3 linked regions of the Rattus norvegicus genome follow. The protein of the gene in region 3 interacts with the protein of the main gene of each other region in a pairwise test. Links are inferred from orthologs where the notes say so. Each region holds a gene or a part of one and is shown on either strand. Other genes may lie near its edges.

What was found.
Region 1: the proteins of Zfp24 (region 3) and Yju2b interact in binary tests that used the Homo sapiens proteins (3 or more experiments, as listed by UniProt). The two-hybrid records come from large-scale screens. The link is inferred for Rattus norvegicus from reciprocal best matches to the Homo sapiens genes ZNF24 and YJU2B.
Region 2: the proteins of Zfp24 (region 3) and Zfp446 interact in binary tests that used the Homo sapiens proteins (3 or more experiments, as listed by UniProt). The link is inferred for Rattus norvegicus from reciprocal best matches to the Homo sapiens genes ZNF24 and ZNF446.

The regions. Positions count from the first base shown.
Region 1 is NC_086037.1:40,800,397-40,806,738, reverse strand, and holds the start of Yju2b (probable splicing factor YJU2B), read right to left. Parts: upstream 3,685-6,342; 5' UTR 3,470-3,684; coding exon 3,467-3,469; intron 1,991-3,466; coding exon 1,937-1,990; intron 1,582-1,936; exon of another isoform or gene 1,577-1,581; coding exon 1,494-1,576; intron 482-1,493; coding exon 426-481; exon of another isoform or gene 404-425; coding exon of another isoform or gene 400-403; intron 1-399. UniProt on the Homo sapiens protein: May be involved in mRNA splicing.
Region 2 is NC_086019.1:82,671,282-82,677,603, reverse strand, and holds the start of Zfp446 (zinc finger protein 446), read right to left. Parts: upstream 3,685-6,322; 5' UTR 3,422-3,684; intron 3,323-3,421; exon of another isoform or gene 2,944-3,322; intron 2,561-2,943; 5' UTR 2,519-2,560; coding exon 2,177-2,518; intron 2,105-2,176; coding exon 1,903-2,104; intron 1,627-1,902; coding exon 1,532-1,626; intron 1-1,531. UniProt on the Homo sapiens protein: May be involved in transcriptional regulation.
Region 3 is NC_086036.1:15,578,471-15,584,992, forward strand, and holds the start of Zfp24 (zinc finger protein 24), read right to left. Parts: upstream 3,492-6,522; 5' UTR 3,420-3,491; intron 3,366-3,419; exon of another isoform or gene 2,945-3,365; intron 931-2,944; 5' UTR 851-930; coding exon 431-850; intron 202-430; coding exon 54-201; intron 1-53. UniProt on the Homo sapiens protein: Transcription factor required for myelination of differentiated oligodendrocytes. Required for the conversion of oligodendrocytes from the premyelinating to the myelinating state.

The DNA of each region.
Region 1 (6,342 bases), on a different chromosome or scaffold from region 3:
TCCAATCTTAGGAACAGGACCCAGGGGCTTAAACACTCCCCAGGCTTGGTCTCTGTTCCGACAGTGCACATCCTTAGGTAGTCTGCGGGTCACTCACCTTCCTCACAGCCTCATCCTTTCCTCCCCCAGCCACCTTGTCTCCCAGCACTGTGCTCCTAGATTGTCATCGTCTTTCCTGCAGTCTAGCTAGCCCTGAGGCAGGACCCTGCCCTGCCCTTGCCCAGGATCTGGACCTCAGGGCCTAGCTTTCTCATTGCTCTCTGGTTTGGGTACCTGCCACCTTCTGATTTGTCAGAAGGTGGGGTTGACAACATCTCCAGTGTCTCATAACACCTGGCACAGAGGGGGCTGAAGGGGTGGGCAAGGCAGGTGGGGAGGGCGACGCTCACCCATGCTCACCCATTGCGGCGCTCACCCACGCTCACCCATGCCGATGTGGTTCTTACAGCCGTCACACCAGATGTTGTATGGCATTTCAAATCTAAACAAAGACAAGGACTTTTAATTGTTGTTGTTTTTCTTCTTCTTTTTTCTTTTTTTTCGGAGCTGGGGACCGAACCCAGGGCCTTGCGCTTGCTAGGCAAGCGCTCTACCACTGAGCTAAATCCCCAACCTGTTGTTTTTTTTCTTTAAATGTTTTGTTCTTGCATTTATTTATTGATTTAACCATTGTGTGTGGTGGTCAGAAGACGACCTTCATGAGTTGGTTTTATCCTTCTATTCTGCGGGTGTGGGGACCGAATTCAGGTTATCTGGCTTGACCACAAATGCCTTTACCCACTGAGTCACTGCTCCCCACACCCCTTTTTTCTTAAGATGTATTCTGGCTGTGTTACCTAGTCTATTCCTGAACTCTTGGACTCAAGTAATCCTCCTGCCTCAGGCCACATAGTCCTTGGTAGGCAGATGTGTACACCTGTGCAGGCCCTGGCTGGCCACTCTTTCTTCTGTGCTCATTTCCTTATGCATCACTCTCTGGCTTGTCCTACCCAGACAGAGTCTGGTCCCAGGCCTGGAGTCAGGGTCTGACCACACAACTAATAGGAAAGAAGGTTCAAGGGTGTCAGGTCTTGTCTTGGCCTTAAGACCCCTGGCACTTCTTCTTTTGGAGCCATAATATAGCTGGTCTGCTGGAAGAGAGACCCACTGTGGAGCAGTCTACCCATACAGGCCAAGGCCCCATAGGACTTGTCTTCTGCCTCCAAGCACTCATCAATAAAGGAAGAAGGCCTAGTCTCCCTTCCAAGCCCAGAAGAGACGCCCAGCCTTGTTATCAATAAAAATGCTTATTGTTCTCTCATACAGCAATAGCTGACTGATTGTTCTCTCATACAGCAATAGCTGACTGATTGTTCTCTCACACAGTGATGGCTGACTGATGCACTGTCTATCAGCTTCATGGAATTATAACCTTGCAGCATTGGGTCAGTCAATTAGGGGATATGAGATCGATGCAAAGTGGAGGTCTTGGGAGAAGGGGAGAAGTTTCTTACCGGATAATAAGGATGCCTTGTGAGAGCTTCCGAGCCCGTTCTCGAAGTGGGTGGCTGTTGTGGTATCGGTTGAGAGAGCCATGCTGTGTAGAAAGGGTAAGTGAAGGAGAGCGGGCTAAGCTGGGTAGCTTGTTCCCTTGCTGTTCCTACGCTGGGGGACAATGCCTCCTAAGTAGGAGGGGCTTCATTCTTACACCCTACAAGCAACATGGGAGGTGTGGAGGTACACAGCTTGGGGCCAGGGACAGAGTTGTCCTTGGTATCTGAAGGAAGCAGTTCCAGGAGCCCCCAGGGACACCAGCATCTTTAGGAATGCTTTATATGTAATGGCATGGTAATTGGGTAGAGTCTGCACACATTCTCCAGGGAGGGGCCTGCGAGTCTTCTCTAGGTGACTTGTCACACTTGGTCCCTAAGCTGTGGGGCTGTGGGGAGATGCTCACCTTTTCGGGGTTGAAGTCCGGAGGGTAGTACTTGTTCTGGCCTTTCCTTTCCCCCTGAAAGCAGAGGGAAAAAGTTGGAGAAGGCCATGCAGGGCCTACGCACCCCATATCCAGGTTACCATGTCCTCCTCCGGGGTCTAGACCAACAAGTGTGGTCTTTATCCCTCATCAAGAAAATGTCCCTTTGCAAGAGACAGAGACCACACGGAAAGCCACAACCGATCCATACGCAGGGTTGTGCAGCAGCTGCCCAACTGCAACGCCCCCCCTCCCCCCAACTCTGGCACAGTGACCACTGTGGGAGAGGAGGCAGGAGATTGATTATGAGGTCCAGAGGACTTTGCTGTGAGACTATGTCTCTTAGAGGCATTACAAGCCATACCTGTGAAGGCTCTCCCACATGACTGCCCAAACATGAGGTGAACAAGAACACCAACCAACATGTTAAAGAGGACAGGGTGAAGACCATGAGGCCTCTACCCTATACATAGAACCACAGGCAACTGAGGAAATCTGGGAGCAGGTGAGGCTGCTCTCCCCAAAGAGAAACACACCAACGGGTTCCCAGTGCCAAATGTCATCCCTAAAAACACACACACGAGCGACAGTGTTTGCACTCAACAGGTTATATTTGGAAATGTGTCCATAAACACACATGCAAGAACAACCAATGACAGAAGAGGCCGTGAGTCTCAAGGAGAGCAGGGAGGGCAGACGGGAGAGTTTGGACGCTCACGGCAGGCAGGCTCAGCTGGAAGCAGCAGTGTTGCTGTCAGGGGTGGTGAGGCAGAAGCGGCTGCTTAGGGCTGATGGTGTCTGCCAGCCTAAGGACCTGAATTTAAACCTGGGGACCACAGGGTGGAAGAGGAACCAATTCCTCCAAGCTGACTACCACATGCACGCACACCTGTTCTACAATAAACAAAAGCATAATTATCTATTTTTAAAAGTTATTGATTAGCTTAGCTGTACAGGGCCTCCTTTTCAGAGGATGAGTTTCCTAGAGCTAAACTGAAGAAGAAAGTGGGCAGGGACACACACATTTCATAGTGGCTAGTGTAAGGCTGGGCTAAGGCAGGGCTGGGGTAAGGCAGGGCTGGGGTAAGGAAGGCTGGGGTAAGGCAGGGCTGGGGTAAGGAAGGCTGGGGTAAGGCAGGGCTGGGGTAAGGAAGGCTGGGGTAAGGCAGGGTTGGAATGTGGCTCAGTGGCAGAGCTCCTGTCTGGAACTTGCAAGGCCCTGGCTTCCATCCCCCACTCTGAAGCAGGGAGGCATAATCCTGCATTTGGATATGGATCTCTGAGGAAGAAGGACTAGGAGTTTAAGATCATCCTTAGCTAAATAGCATAAGGAAGGAAGGGAAAGGGCAGGAGGGGAGCAAGATCTTCACAGAGAGGTGACTGGGGGTGGGGTGTTCCAGTTCCCAGCGAAGCTCTGCAACCACCATATATGACAACCAATAATGACCACTCAAGGGCCTGGGATGGGCAGGGCTGCCAGGAGGAGTGCAGACCTGGGAATCCTCTACTCACCATCTTGGGAACTGCCTGTAGGGTCTTACTAGCAAGGCTCCAACTGTGAAATCAGCCTGGCGAGCACATGCAGTGAGGAGTGCCCTTTGGAGGCTGCGGGGGCTGCGGAGGCTGTGAAGATGGGGCTCTGTGGCCTGGATCTTCTGGTTCTTGGAGTTCACAGGAGTTCTGAGTTGCAACCTGACGCTGAGCCTCCACAGAGTGCAGGGGTAGCCAAGGAGAGCCTGGAGGGAGGGAGGGAGGGAGGGAGGGAGGGAGGGAGGGAGGGAGGGAGGGAGGCAGGCAGACAGACAGACAGGTAAGAGAGCCATGTGACTCCAGACTCTACACTGAGGTGTCCGAGTACAATTGGTATCTGTCCTAGCCCTTCCCTCAATTCCTACCGCCTGTCCTGCTCCTGCTGCAGAAGCTGCAAAGGGCTCCTTTTAAATGTACACTTTATAACGTGAATTTCTCTGTGTGTGTATGGCATGTGAAGCACATGGAGGTCAGAGGACAACGTGTAGGAGTCAGTTCTCTCCTTTCCTCATGTGAGCCTTTCACTATACTCAGGCTGTAGGCTTAGTGGAAAGCCACTGAGCCATCTCACCTGCCCAGTACTCACATATACTCACTGGCGCAGTACTCACATATACTCAGTACTTATATATACTCACTGGCCCAGTACTCACATATACTCAGTACTTACATATACTCACCAGCCCAGTACTCACATATACTCAGTACTTACATATACTCACTGACCCAGTACTCACATATGCTCAGTACTTATATAAACTCACCAGTCCAGTACTCACATATTCTCAGTACTCACATATACTCAGTACTTACATATACTCACAAACCTAGTACTCACATATACGCAGTGTAACCATGCCCCGGCCTCCTAGAAGCTCCCATCTAGTTTACAATCAAATCTACAGGCTTTTCTGCCTCCCAGACCTTGCTCTCTGAGGAAGTCTCTTACCCCTCTCCTCTCTTGCTCTGTTCTGGACAAGCTGAGTCCCTGGCTGTCTGTAGAGGCCAGGCAAGCAGACTGCTCCTGAACCACTGAGATGGACTCAGAACCTCACAAAGGCTAAGTCAGTACTCTCCCACTAAGCTCCACTTCTCTGACCCTCACTGGAGGATTCCAGGCAGGGGTCCTAGCACTGAGCTATAGCTTATGCCCAAGACGTACTGTGCTAGCTTCAGTTGGGTCACATCTCACTGCTGTGTGGGTAACTGTTAACTTCAAACCCAGGGCAAATGGCTGAGGCACCTAGTTAATATATCAAGTCAGACCTGGCCACCTGGTCCTCCCAGCACCCCTCAGTCCCTACAGATTAAGGGGTATGGTTGGTATATCCTGTCCCCTAAACTTTCTAACCCAGGGGTTGGGCTACCCTCCTCCCAGAGGCATATGCATGCATATATATATATATATATATATATATATATATATATATAAATTTATGCGCCAGACATCTGGGTTTCTGTATCTTTGCCCTCCTGGGTGCTGCACCTGATTCCCCCTGTCCTCTTCTCTCCTCACATGGTCCAGCTCAGTCCGGCCATGTTCTCTCTAGACTCTCCCAGACCCAGACGGCTCTGCCTCTGCTCTCCTTTTATCTACAATAGACTTTCTGCTCCACTTAGAAGCAGTCATGACCTTTCTTTTCCTTTTTATTTTTTATTCAATGACCACTGAGGACTCACACAGCACCAGAGCCTGACATTGGCATTGTGTCGGGTAAAGTCTCAAATGCAAATTGAGATGCCAGAATCCAGAAACTGCATTTAAGATTTTCCCCTCTCTTCCCAACTGCCTTGACAATGTTTTTATTTTTGTTTTTTGTTTGTTTCTGGTTTGAGACAGGGTTTCTTTATGTAGCCTTGGCTGCCCCTGAGCTGCCTGCTTCTGCCTGCTAAATGCTAGGAGGCCACTACCTCCATGGGGGAAGTTTTTTAAGAGAAATTTATTTTTAAATAGTGTGTGATTGTGCCCAGAGTCTAGGAGAGGACGTCCGACTCCCTGGGGCTGGGACTATAGACAGTTGTTGAGTCACCTGACATGGGGTCTGGGAACTGAACTCAGATATTTCAGAAAAGCAGTATGTGCTCTTAACTACTGAGCCATCTTTCCACCCTTAAATTAAGAAAAAAAGAAATCACTGTGTGTGTGTGTGTGTGTGTGTGTGTGTGTGTGTGTGTGTGTGTACAAGTGTGACTGTGTCAGTGTGTGCAGGTCAGAGGAGGAGTGGGAGTCAGTTCTCTCCTCTCCTCATGTTGGGGATAGAACGCAGGTAGTCAGGCTTGGTAGGCATACCTACTGAGCCATCTCAGTGTGCCCTCTCCCAGATACTTATGATGTCCAAGTACTTAAATACCCAGTCAGGTTGGGGGGCACAGCTGCCTGAGTTTAAATTCAAGCTCCATCTCTTACCAGCTGGGGACCTGGGTCTGACTTTCCTCGAGTGCCCGCTCATTACCTGTCAGAAGAGAATGCATTCCAGGGAGTGATGGTACATATCTTTAATCTCAGCACTTGTGTGTGTGTGTGTGTGTGTGTGTGTGTGTGTGTGTGTGTGAATGAGTGTGCTCTATGCTGAGAGATGGGAGGGCAGCTATAGTCACAGCAGAACCAGGAGGGTACACACTGAGTTTGAGGCCAATCTGGTCCACACAGCAAGATCCAGAACCACACAGGGAGACCCTGTCTCAAAAAGCAAAAACAAACCAAACAAAAACGAAACGGAGGGAGAAGCGGTCTGTGCCTGGGGTCTGCTTTACAATGTTTAACATGTTTGAGGCATACCCTTCGATGTAGCCCAGGCTGGCCCAGGACTCCAGATCCTCCAGCCCCAGCTTAAGCTTAAATGGCTCCACAGCCAGGT
Region 2 (6,322 bases), on a different chromosome or scaffold from region 3:
CTTTTTCTTTGGCCTTTATTGAAGTGCCTGTGAGAAAGAGTGGGTCTGTGTAGCCCACGTTAGCCTCAAATGCACTGTGTAGCTGAGCATAACTTGAAAGTTCTGATTTTCCAGACTCTACCTCCTGAGTTCTGGGATTACCAGTTTATGCAGTGCTGGAGATAAAATCTAGGACCTCATGCATGCTAGGTGGGCACTCTACCAAGTGAGCTACATTTGCAAAACCTTTATTTCATTTTATTTTTTAGAAAGAGGATTAAGGAGCCAGGCATGATGGGTGCACACTTTGATCCCAGTGCTCAGAAGCAGAGGTCAGCCTGGTCTACATACTCAGATCCAGGACATTTGGGGCTTTGTAGAGAGATTAAACAAAACAAAACAGAACAAAAACAGGATGTGGTGGGGAGGAAGATTAAAAAGAGTAATGAAGCTGGGCATGGTGGAGCACACCTTTAGTCCCAGTACTCGGAAGTTCCTGGTCTACAAAGCTAGTTCAGGACAGCCAGGGCTTGTTACACAGAGAAACCTTGTCTCAAACTGCCTCCCAACACACACACACACACACACACACACACACACACACACACACACACACACACACACAAAGGGGTAGAGGGGGAGGAGGAATTGATGTGATGAGGTGAGTAGGTAAAGGCGATGGAGAGAGAAAGCTTAGGTGCTTTGTGCCAGGTGGCAGCCGGTTCAAGCAAGGTCTGAAGAGGGGCAATTTGGTGGCAAGACAGTGTGTGTGTGTGTGTGTGCACGAGGGCATGCATGCGTGCTGTGATGGCCATACCAAGGAAAGAATCCCTTGCCCTGAAATCTGCCATATAGGTCTTTGATAGGTTGAGAAAAATAACCCTGAAGGACAAGCCAAAGCAAATCTGGAGAAAGGAAGGTGGCTGCCACAGCTACATCTAGAGGTGTTATTAGTCTGGAATGGAGCAGGATACCAGAGAGGGATCAAAGAAGGGTTTCTTAACCTTGAAGCACACCCTAACTAGACATTCTATTGAGAAAGAAGGTAAGGGCTCAGAAGCAGAAAGAACCTAGAGGGGACAGATCTCTACTCTCTCCATGTTAACTATACACATGCAGGTAGCAGGTTAAGCTCAGCCTCTGTGTCACTGTACTCTGAAAAGAGCAGTAGAAGGGGTTTGAGGAATGTTCGGGAAGAGAATTTTGATCTGACCTCAGGACTGCAGGAATCCTGCATGGCCATCCCCTCCCCAACTGTACACATAACAACTGGCTCATGGCTTGTGTATACTGTAAACCTTTCCAGTAACTGACTTCTCTGGAGGTGAGAAATCCATGCCCACCAGTTCTAGCCACTTCTGGATCTGGGGCCTAAATCCTTTCTAATGAGAGGCTACCAATAGGACTTGATGGGAGGGAAGGTATTTACTACTCAGAAGTAGTAAAAACCACATGAGTCACTGGCAGGGGATCCTACAAAACTGTAGGGCAGAACACAAGCCACCAGAGACACTCCTCCTCCCACATGCAAGGCCTGCTAGAGGCTGTTTACCTGGATTCTTCCTGGCTGGAACGATACGGAGGCTGTTTCCTGATGTTCAAGATGTCCCTCAGGGCCCTGGGCTGGAAGGAGGGTGCTTGGAGATACTGAGAAAGAGAGGCAGATGGGAAGGAGTATCAAGCTGTTGTTACTGCATTGGCCTTTGGCCCGCCTCTGCAATTTGACATGGGGGAGATCACCCTGTTCCTTCTCAGAAATTCAGCTTTATGGTCTCTCCAGAGTCCTTATCTCAGCTGGGATTGTCCAGACTCATTTCAGGAGTTGCAGCCCTGCAAAACCTCTCCTAGAGCACCTTACTCTAACCCCCCCCCCCGTACCCCACACACCCCAGGGATTTGAGTTCAGATGCTGCATCCCCTCACCCATCTCCTGCCCATCAGCACTGACTTCCTCCTTCACACTGCAACTGATCTGGGTAGATCTGTCTATCCCTGCGTCCTGCGGTGCCTCCGCTGGGCCTGCCTTGGAGGATTCCATTGCTGCTGAGATGTGGTGGCTCCCTGAGGACTCCTCCATCTTCTGGACTGAAGGAAGTATCTTTGGCTTCAGGATGTGGGCTGTGATCTGAAGAGAAGCATGTTACAGGGGCTCTCCCTTCAATCTGTCCCTTTAAGAAGCTAATGTCATTGCACTCACCCAGCCCAGCAGCTGTCCAGGATCATGCTGCAGCTCCTCAACAAGGGCAGCGGCCTCCTCGGGGCTTCCTGGTCGCTGTCCTCGAACCCAGGCCTGGATCTCAGGAGGCAACACACCCAGGAACTGTTCCAAAACCAGCAACTCTATCATCTGCTCTTTGGAGGATGACTCAGGCTGCAACCACTGGTGACACAACTCTCGAAGCCGGGCCAATGCCTCTCGGGGTCCCTCAACCTCCTCATAGCAGAAACCCCGGAAATGGAGTCGTGCAGCCTCAGGCTCCTCAAGGGTGGTCCTGGAGTCTCTGAAGGATAGGTGTGGGGTACCCAGAGGAGATGGCATTCTTGTTTTGAGGGTCTTTTTGGAGGTGACAGAGGGTCCTACCTACAGAAAAGGAAGAATGTCATCTAAGGTCAGAAGGCATACACCAGATCCTTCCTAGAAGCCATAAAGAGAACCCTGTGGGCAGGAGAACTTCAAGGAAGGTCATGGAAGGTGCAGGCCCACAGTAGTTGAGAAAGCCTTGAAGATAACGACTTGAGTAGAAGGTGTCCAAGGATCTTCTAGAAAACTGCAAATTACTGGCTCAAATATTTGGGTAAAACAGAGGGCTGTTGGGAGATGAAAGTGGTTCCCCCGGTAGACAAGAGTTCAAGCAGGACATAGATCGGACCATCATCCAGGGTAACCTGAAGCCCTGAGGCTTCAGGCAGGAGGCAGACCACTGTGCTAGCTGAAGAGTTGACTCTGGGGCCCAAGTACATCACCTGGGGGGCAGCGCTGAAAGCTTGGGTGCACTGCCAGGGGCTTATATAGGCTGGCAGACACAGTTCACTGACCACAACTGAACTGTGGATGCCTCACACTGCCTCAGCCTATGCATGTGAAACCCCGAAACAAAAGCCAAATCAAACAGCCCCGTTTTGTGTGTAGTCAGCTGGAACCTATGTACCAGCTCTTAAGAAGTTCTGGATTGAAATCAGCTCTCCTGAGACATCTGGCCTGTTCAGGAGACACTCAGAGTTGGGGTCTCAGGCTCTGACACAGAAAAAGGGTGGGTCCGATGGCTGGGAGGCACTCTCGGCGGTCAGAGGAGGGGGATTATAAAGCTGCGCCTGCACAGCTAGGAGTGCGCTCACCTCTGACGCGTGGGGGAGCCCGAGAAGCTTGAGGCACTTCCAGGAAGTGACACGGAGCGCGTCCCACTACCACTCACAGATCGCCCCGCCTCTCCCGTTAGCCTACCAGCCTGGCCAATCCTGCACCTGCTCCGCAGGAACGGCCCCCTCCGCTTGGACTACGTCTCCCGTGAGCCTCAGCAAGGACGACAGCACGCTTCCAGGGCCTCTAACGCGGGAGGCTCTTCGTTCCTCTCCTCGGGGTCGCTTTGCCGCAGAGTTCCGGGGGTTCCCCTTCCTGACTTGGCAGCGGTTCTTCTCTTGCAACCTCAGCCGTAGGACTCACGTACAGCCGACCCAGACTGGGGGTTAGCCTCTTGACGCATGTGCACAGCGGAACTGGTTTCTATTGGCTAGTTAGGGCATCCTGACCAATCAGAGCTGGCGCTCCCCAAAGGGCTCGCGCTCCTTGTGTCTCCTAGGTAACAGCCAGCGCACAACCTACGGCCTTTTACTGTTCTCTGAGTTATGCCGTGAGGGTCGTCCTGCCTTGGAGAAGGCCTAGGTAGAGGCTTCTTGGCCTCTTGAGTCCAGGCGTCATCCCAGACTGTTCCAGACAGTACCAGTAGGAATCCCGGTGGGAGGCGAGGAATACCCACTATGGCCTCTGTGGGATCTCCGTTAAGCTCCCTGGATATTGTGGGGGCAGTAGGCCCACGGGTGAGCAAGCGCTCGGAGGAGGGAGGTAACTATGTAATTACCCCCTCATTAATAGTCTTCAGATAACTGTACTGAAAATACTTGGATGTTCATGTTTTCTCTTGGGATGGGGAAACATTTTTGTCACCAGTCCTTCCTGCCCAACTGTGTGTGATCTTAGAAATGATAAATTTTAAGATAAAAAATTGATTAGGGTTGGGATTCTTCAGTCACCCATGTTCTTGTAATGTTACAGCTATGGGTGGAGAAAGCCTTCTCCAATGACAGTGTTACAGTTCTGAAGGGAAAGGTATCCTGGAAGTTGGATACTACAAAGTCACAGCACACAACAAACCTCAGACAGGAGATTTATTGGGAGGGAAAAACTCAGAAGATGGTTGCCTCTGCTCAGGTGAATCGGGGGGCGCTGGGACGTTCCAGAGTAGGGGAGTTGGTGGGTTTTCAAGTCTTGAGCGTAGGCTTTTTACTCTGCACAGAGGAGCTTGGACCCCATGCATCTGGAGGGGCTGGACCCAGTCATTAGGGCCCTCTGAGTGTTTTGTGGGCAGCTTAGCCACTCTCACTCCTCAAATGCTTACTCTTGTAACCCTAACAAACTCATTGACCAAGTGGGACCTAAGAGGCTTTCTTCCAGTTGGAGTATAGGTTTACGGCTGCCCAGGAAAATCATGAGAGAGAGACCCCCAGTGTCAGCTCAGTATTTGATTTCCCTTGAATGCCACCCCCCCTCCATCTTCACCTACAGACTTACAGCCAAGTGTGGAGTGTGGTGCATCATGTTCAGCTGTAGAGCCAAAGGTGAAGTTTGGTGCATGTGTTTATTTGGTTTTGTGGGATTGGGAGGTGAGGGTTTTGTTGTTTTAAGACAGGGTTTCTGTAACCTGCAGCTTCAGTTTTCTCAGCTTTGAGAACACAGGCAGGTGCTACCAAGCTTAGCTGGTTTAACATTTGACTTAGAAAACCCATAGGCATTTTTACAAGCGTAGCCTGTTAAGAGGAGCTAACCCAGTATAGCCGTAGTTCTTGGGGAACTCCCACACATAGGGGAGCGCAGGCCAGTTCTCGGTATTGGAAGAGGTAGATCCAAGGAGTGTGGAGGTAAAAAGCACTCAGCTTAAAAGCAGAGGCTGGTGAGGAAGAGAAGGTGGTAACAATTCCAGTCTGTGGATCCCAGAAGGCTCAGGACTGTCAGAGAACTGTTGGGGAACTCAGTTTCCTCAACGTATCTTTGGTCCTGGGCCTTCCTGGCGTTACATAGTTCCATCCGAGAGGAGCTGACAGTGGGCCTACTGGGTATCAGGAGGCCTACCTCAGAGAATTTTCTCTTACAGGGTCTTGGGCAGCTGGATCCTGTACAGCATCCCTCCTTTCATGAATTAATGAGGTTTAGTGGACAGATGTGTCTGACTCTACTGGCAGATGGGTGGGACAGGTGTGTCTTATGCATAGATGGTAGCTGCAAGATGGTTTTATTGCTTTTTTGAGACAGGGTCTCACTATGGACCTCCAACTGCTATGTAGTCCTACTTGTCTCTGTCTCTTGTGTGCTGGGATTAGACATCTGACCTGTGTAATTTTTTTTCTGCAGACTTTCTCAGTAGCCTCACACTGATCTGGAGGGTTAACTTCAGATCCTCCTGTCTCAGCCTCCCAAAGTGCTAGGGTTACAGGTCTACACCACTATACCTCCAGGTGACGGGACGGGAGTTCCTAAAGAGCTGGACTCAACTTTACACATGCACTCATCCTCAACAGCAGACGTGCTCATAGCAGTGACTCATTCTTCCCACCCTCCTCTCTCCACAAAGGCTCATCTTTCAACAGAACTGTTGCTCTGGAGCAGATTGCCTTTTCCTAGACCTCCTGGCTTCCCCCACCTACCTGTGGCCACCAAAGGGACATAGATGACTCCATCCTACACTGGGCTACAGATAAGCTGTATCTCTGTGACCTCAGAACCCAGATTAAAGCCAAATCCTCTGTGCTTACTTCAATATCATGTCTGTGAACATCCGTTTAATATCTTCTCTAAGGTAAAAACAAGTATTGTTCACACAGGTGTGTATCAACTCAGTTTTTTCTTTTTAAGATAGGGGCTTCAATGCTGGGCTGTGATGGCACATGCCTTTCATCCCAGTGCTTGGTGGGGCAGAGGCAGGTGGATTTCTCTGAATTCAGGCCAGCCTGGTCTACAGAGCTCCATCCTGTTCTAGGTGACCAGGGCTACACCAAGAAACCCTGTCTCAAAACAAAACACAGGGCCTCAAACTATCCTTGAATTGCCTCCTCTACCTCTCCCTCCTGACTA
Region 3 (6,522 bases):
CAAGAACAAGCAAAGCACTCTGGGGAAAGTCAACATGGTGTCCTGGTCCTCACCACAGTGCCTCAGAGAGTGGAGTTCCCAGGATGCCCACTTGAGCTGGTTCTCTACGGCGTCAAGCTCAGAACTCGGTAATCCCTGAGCGTCTTCTTGAGATGCTATCTCTTCTACAAGTACTTCCCGTTTCCGCCGACGGAGAGAAACCTGAAAACAAGATTTGAGTTTGGTTGAGAAGGGACTCTGACACTAAGCAGTATAACAGAACATACAGAAGACATGAGAATCCTAGCTAGCAGCACAGCGGAGGTCCTGCCGAGTTGCAAGGACACTGGAGGGAGGTACAGATATAACTTAGCCAAGTGCAGTTAATCCAGCAGTTTGCCTACTGCTATGTTAGTGTCCTGCCTTGGGGAAATGAGTCAAGCATGCTCACCGGCTGTCCAGGGTCATCAAGTTCACTCTCCAAGTCCTCTAGAACAGTCACTGCCTCCTCTCCGTTCTCTGGGTGATGCTCTCGAACCAAAGTCTGTAGCTCCCTGGGGAGGATGGCGACAAACTGCTCCAAAACCACCAGCTCCAGTATCTGCTCCTTCGTGTGCGTCTCCGGTCTGAGCCACAGGCGGCACAGTTCTCGGAGCTGGCTCACCGCCTCTCGCGGTCCTGGTGAATCCTGGTATCCAAACTGCCTGAACCGCTGCCGGAAAATCTCCGGGTCAGGGAGATGGTTCCAGGAAATGCTCGATCCTTCTTCACCGTCAGGATCCTCCTCTAGTTTCACTCTCAGAATTTTTTCTTCTTCATCTGGATTTGGGATGATAAGTATTGAATCTTCTTCCACTGACTGGGCAGACATCCTGTTACAATACCTCCAAGAAAAGGCAACTGAGGCAAGGTACAGACCTCAGAAATACCCTGTTTTCCTCAAAAGTACTCCTAAGGTACAAGAAATAAAAAACACATAAATCACCAAGTACCCCATGATATTCGAAAAGCAGAAGGAAAAAAAAAGAGATACATTGCTTTACTTGATTAAAACTTGAAATCAATAACTTACACTGACTGAAAGTCTGCCATAGCTGGTAAACCACAGCCTATTTACCCTGCTGCCTGCTACACCATCCGTAGAGAAGTAGTGTAAACGTTTTAATGACTAAAAAAGTACAGAAATACTTCATGCTGAGAAAATATGATGTGTCTGTCTAGGACCAGCAAGGTTACTCATCTGGCAAAGGCCTGATGACTTGAGTCCAATGACCAACATGTACATAAGAGAAAAATTATTTCTGCAAGTCTGGTCTTCACAAGTGGGACAGACAGACACACACACAGAGACAGACAGACAAACACACACACAAGATGTAAAAATGTCTTTAAAAATGGTTTATGTACACTGTTTTTGCTTGCATGTATGTCTGTGTGAGGATGTCAGACCCCTTAGAACTGGAGTTAGAGACAGTTGTGAGCTGCCATGTGGGTGCTGGGAATTGAACTTGGGTCCTCTGGAAGAGCAGCCAGTGCTCTTAACCACTGAGCCATCTCTCCAGCCCCATTAATATGTTTACATTTTGTGTATATAAGTCATTAAATTTAATCGTGGTTTGGGCTATAATGTGGTAGAGTTGACAGTATTCAATGATTTCAGCTAAGATCTAAAACAATGTAATATTTACCAGCTTGCTCTTTTTAGGAAAAAAAAAAGATTGCTAATTTGTGACATATAGTCTACAAAGGGTAATTTAATAGCCTACAGTATCTGGGTAAGATGCAGTCTACCTCAGTGTTCTCCAAACGTCCTGAAGCTTGGGACTGGAGAGTTGGTTCAGCAGTTAAGAATGCATTCCCCTGCAGTGGACCCTGGTTTGTTTCCCTGAACCACAAACTCCTCTCTCTTCTCACCTCCTCAGGCACCAGGCAAACACACAGTGCAAATATACATAAAATAACAAACTAAGTATTCAGAACAGTAGGACACATAAAACATGTTTTTTGACATTTATTTCGTGTTGGAACACATCAGCACAGGTGTGGAGGTCAGGGGACATTAGTTCCCTCCTGCTATGTGCAATCTGGGATCTTGGGAACAAGCCCCCGACCTGATGAGGCACCCTACTTTTCATTTTTTGCAAACCTGGAGTAGGAAATAGATCAACCGTTCTCCCAGTTAGAATCCCCCAGAATGAGAGACTATCCTTACCCATCATGCTCTACTGCTGAGCTAATCCCCAGAATTGTCACAAATACTCTAATGTTTGTTTAGGAACTCCCTAAACTTAAAATATATGCGAAAAATGTTCACTAGTAGATAGGTATGCGCCCAAAAGCCCAACATTGTAGGCTTTACATGCAGAAGCAAGATTATGGTCATCCATGTGGCAAAGCCAACCTGGGCTATTAGATCTTGTCACAGACTTTCTTTTACACAGTTCAGTAACAGATCATATAACACTGGGGAAGGAACTATTTCACATAACATACAAATGTTACTCAGGCTTCCACCACACCATACATACATTTAAACTTACAGTGACAAGCTTCAACCACAGCAAATTCTATTAGGAAAAAGCACTCACAACTTCTCAGTGTACGGGAGTCTTTTCCCTGATGAAGCTTCCCCTAACTTTTCCTTTGGGGAAATCTGAGCTACTTTCTGATGCTTTTGGAATTTGCAAAATCATAGCCGTGCCACGGTTTACAGCACATAAAGAATAATAAGTTTACGGCTACTGTTTATTAGAGCCAAGAACTTAAGAGACAGAAACTTAAGAAAACCATATTGAAACCGATCAAGATGAAGACAAAAGATCAGAAAAGGCTGTCTCAAACTGACAGGTCATATAGACACTCAGGAGTGGGATGGCCTGATATCAAAATCTAAGTTCTTATTCCTGGACCCGATTCTATCAGCAATCAAGCATTTCTATGTGATAGAAACTGCTTTTTCTTTTACTTTGTACTGCACCAAGCTCGTGGGATGTGGAGGAACGCCGTCCGGCACTCGGCGGGATCCTGGTCTTCAGCGACCGCCCGCCTCACAGCGCTGAGCCCAGCCTGCCCCAGCAACTCGGACGTCCTCTTCCCAGCATTCACCAGGAAGGGCTGCAGAAGCCCCAGAACCACCCCGCCACACAGGACAGGCACTTCCGCCCGGGACCGGCGGGACTACAAATCCCAGCAGGTCGCGCGCGAGAACGGCCGGATCCCCCCTCGGCTTGAGCGTCTCCCAGAATCCTCCGCGAGCCGCTAGAGCCTCGAAATAGAACAAAACCGGCCCGTGGGGGAGGGGAAAGCAGGCCGGAGAGGATGCGGGCGCTGGAGGCTCTGCGGACCCCCGAAGTGCCGCAGGTCGCCGCCGCCCTTCCGCCGCCGCGGCCTTTTATGCGCACGCCCGGAATGCTGAGCGTCGCCGGCCTCTGGACCCTTACCTGAGCCCCCGCCTCCTCGAACCCTACCCCCGCGCGCTGCTGACCTCTGGCTCGGGACCCGCCACAGCCTCGTCGTCCCGGGCAGACGCTGCGCCGCCGCTTTCAGCCGCTTCCCACAAGCCCCCGGCGCGCACGGCTTCCGGTCCGCAGGACGGGGGGGGGGGCGGGAGGGAATGGGGAAGCCGAAGCCCGGAGTTGCCATGGGGACGCGCGGTGAGCGGGGGAGGTGCCGCTTGATGACAATGGCCGCATTGAGGCTGCGCTTGGCCTTGCGCCTCTCACTGAGTGACTGTTGCTCTCTGTTCCACTTTAGAGAAAGGAAAGGGGAGCAGGAGGAACGTGGGCGGCAGTTTCACAAGTGCCCGGTGCTCCTCGCCGGAGCCCTCTGGAGTAACTAGCTTACTCCAGAGTTCTGAAACGTTCTGAAAACGTGCCATGATCGTGTCAGGCACCGTCGCTGTACAATACGTGTAAATCGTTTTTCTTTACCCGCACATCTTTACTTATTGAGCCTTTGGCCCTGAAACAAGGTTTGCCTCTAAACATGCCCCAAACCATTGTCTTCCACTACTGTGTTTCAAAGATTATGACAGATTATCAAAGAAACAAGATAGTTGAGACCTTTGTCACAGAGAATTGCAGAATATACTCATGCTGGTTGTTTGATGCCAAAAAAAGAGCTGCAGTCATAATCACTTAGATTGCCTCATTTCCCTATTTAAAGTGGATTTCAGCTACCTCAACTACCTTGACATTAAATAATTGTTACGTTGTTCTGTAGGCCATCTCTGGTCTGTTGCCTGCCTTTGCCTTCTGACCATGCGTGACTTGGACTTATTGTACAGCCTCAGCCTCACTGACCAATGAACGCCCTTTCCTCCAGGTGGCCTCAAGATGCTTGTGGACACTCTGAGAAGTGATCGCATTACTTAGCTGTGCTTTGTTTGAAAGTCTTGTAAAAAGTTGGGTCCTCCCTGTCCCTAGTTTCAGGATGCTGGCTGGTACATAGAAAACTCAGTAAGCACACTTTGAATAAATGCATCAATTGTGGGCTGGTCACATTGCCTGCGGCCTTTGCTAGGTCACATGTCAAGTCTCGGAAATCGCACAAAAGAGCTCTGTTTTGGAAAAAGTCTTGTTAGAAGCAAAGGTCAAGTTTGCAGAACACTTAAAGGATCCTCAAGCCTTGCCCTATTGTCTCATTCAGAAGGGCCTCTGCAAAGTGTCCTGGGCCTCTGCAAAGTGTCCTCGGCCTCTGCTTGTTAGTGAATGAGAGAGCAGTAAACAAGCAGCTCACAGAATAGCAAGACTTCCCATTCCAGCCAGAGCTCACCTTCCCACAACCCCTGTAACTTTTCACTCTTCACTGTGAGGTTTTAGTACAGCCTTCCCCCATCTCCTGTTTGGCTGTAGACAGGATCCGGCTTGGCTGTTCTCTGCAACCTTTTTGTCTATTGTGATTCCGAAGAGCTAACTCAAAGCATACTTTGTTTTGTTTCTTTAAGAGATTTTATAGCAAGTTAATACTGAAAAACATAATAAACCCACTCAAGTAAAAAATGTGACATTTTGTAATTTGCTTTGCCTTTTGATCCATTCTCAGTTAATTTTAAAGTAGTGAATGGGAAGGAACCATAGTGGGAATTTCCTTATGACATTACTTCTTTGCATGCACCCAGTTTGGAAAACTGTCATTTCAAGCCCTTTTTTCCAGAATGGTAACCCTCACTGTCTTCTTAAAAGTCTAGGCAACCTGGAGCTTGGAGCTGGAGAGACTGTCGGTTAAGAACTTGGTCTGCTGTTTAATAGCCCATATCTGCTTTCCAGCTCACAACCACCTGCCCTACAGCTCCAGGGGGTCCAACAACCTCTTCTGTCGCTACCACACTTGCATACACATCACACACAGTCAACATACATTTAAAAGATAAATGTTAAAATATTTAGAGCATCCTGTTCCTCTGGGTAGCCCAAGTGAGGGAGTAGTCCCATACCAGAGGTGATGACCTTGCACTCCATCCACACAGGCCTCATAGCTGAGGCTCGGTGGAATATCAGATCCTGTTGGAACAGATAGATGGGAGGCTTGTGAATACTTACTACCGGACCATTTCTTTCTGTGCCTCCCTACCAGGTTGTCCTTGACACCTTTTCACCTCCTCTTAGGTAATCATGGCACTGCCTTGCCTTCCTAGTTTAGGTACAAACTTTGAAACCCAAATTGATTAGCTACAAGAGGTTCTATAATTCACCCCACTCCTTTATATCGTTTGGGTGTAAGAGATGATCTAGCACCTCTGGCCGATCTTGCTTACATTCTCTTCTTGTAGAACCCAATCTACATGGTGGTACAAACCTTTAATCCTTGCACTTGGGAGACAGGCAGGCCGATCTACATATTAAGTTCCAAGCTAGGCAAGGCACCATGGTGAGACCCTGTCTCAACCCTAAAGAGGCTCATTTCTAATTTTTCTTAAGATTTAATTTTAGTTTTAATTATGTGTATGCATGTGTCCCTGTGCACCCTTGGAGGTCAGAGGGTGTCAGGGTATGATTACCTAGAGCTGGAGTTACAGGCATTTGTGAACTACTTGATGTAGGCATTTGGAACCACACAGTCCCCTCCCAGAGCAGTATGAGCTCTTAAGCACTGACTTATCTTTCCAACCCAAAGATTTATTCACTTTTATGACTTCAGATGTTTCCCCCGCTGTATGGATGTACGTGCACCACCTGTGTGGCTGGTGCCCTGGGCGGCCAAAGGAGGCATTGGATCCCCTGGAATCGGAGTTACAGATGGTTGTAAATTGCTGGTAACCTAATCTGGGTCTTTTGGAAGAACAGCCAGTGCCCTTAACTGCTGGCCTCATTTCTTGACCAGCTAAATCTTTTTAACCTCCTTATAAAAATGTCTCGTTTATTAATTGGCAAAAACAAGCTAATAGAAAGTAGACAGGCATCGCCTGGGTGCCAGAGTTTTAGAAATGAGTAAAATGAAATTAAGATTCTTTAAGAGGACTAACTTGCTAAGAAATAACGAGATTAGAAAGTATTTCTCCGGACTGTGGAAAAAGTAAAAAGAACAGAATAGCAGCATGGAGGG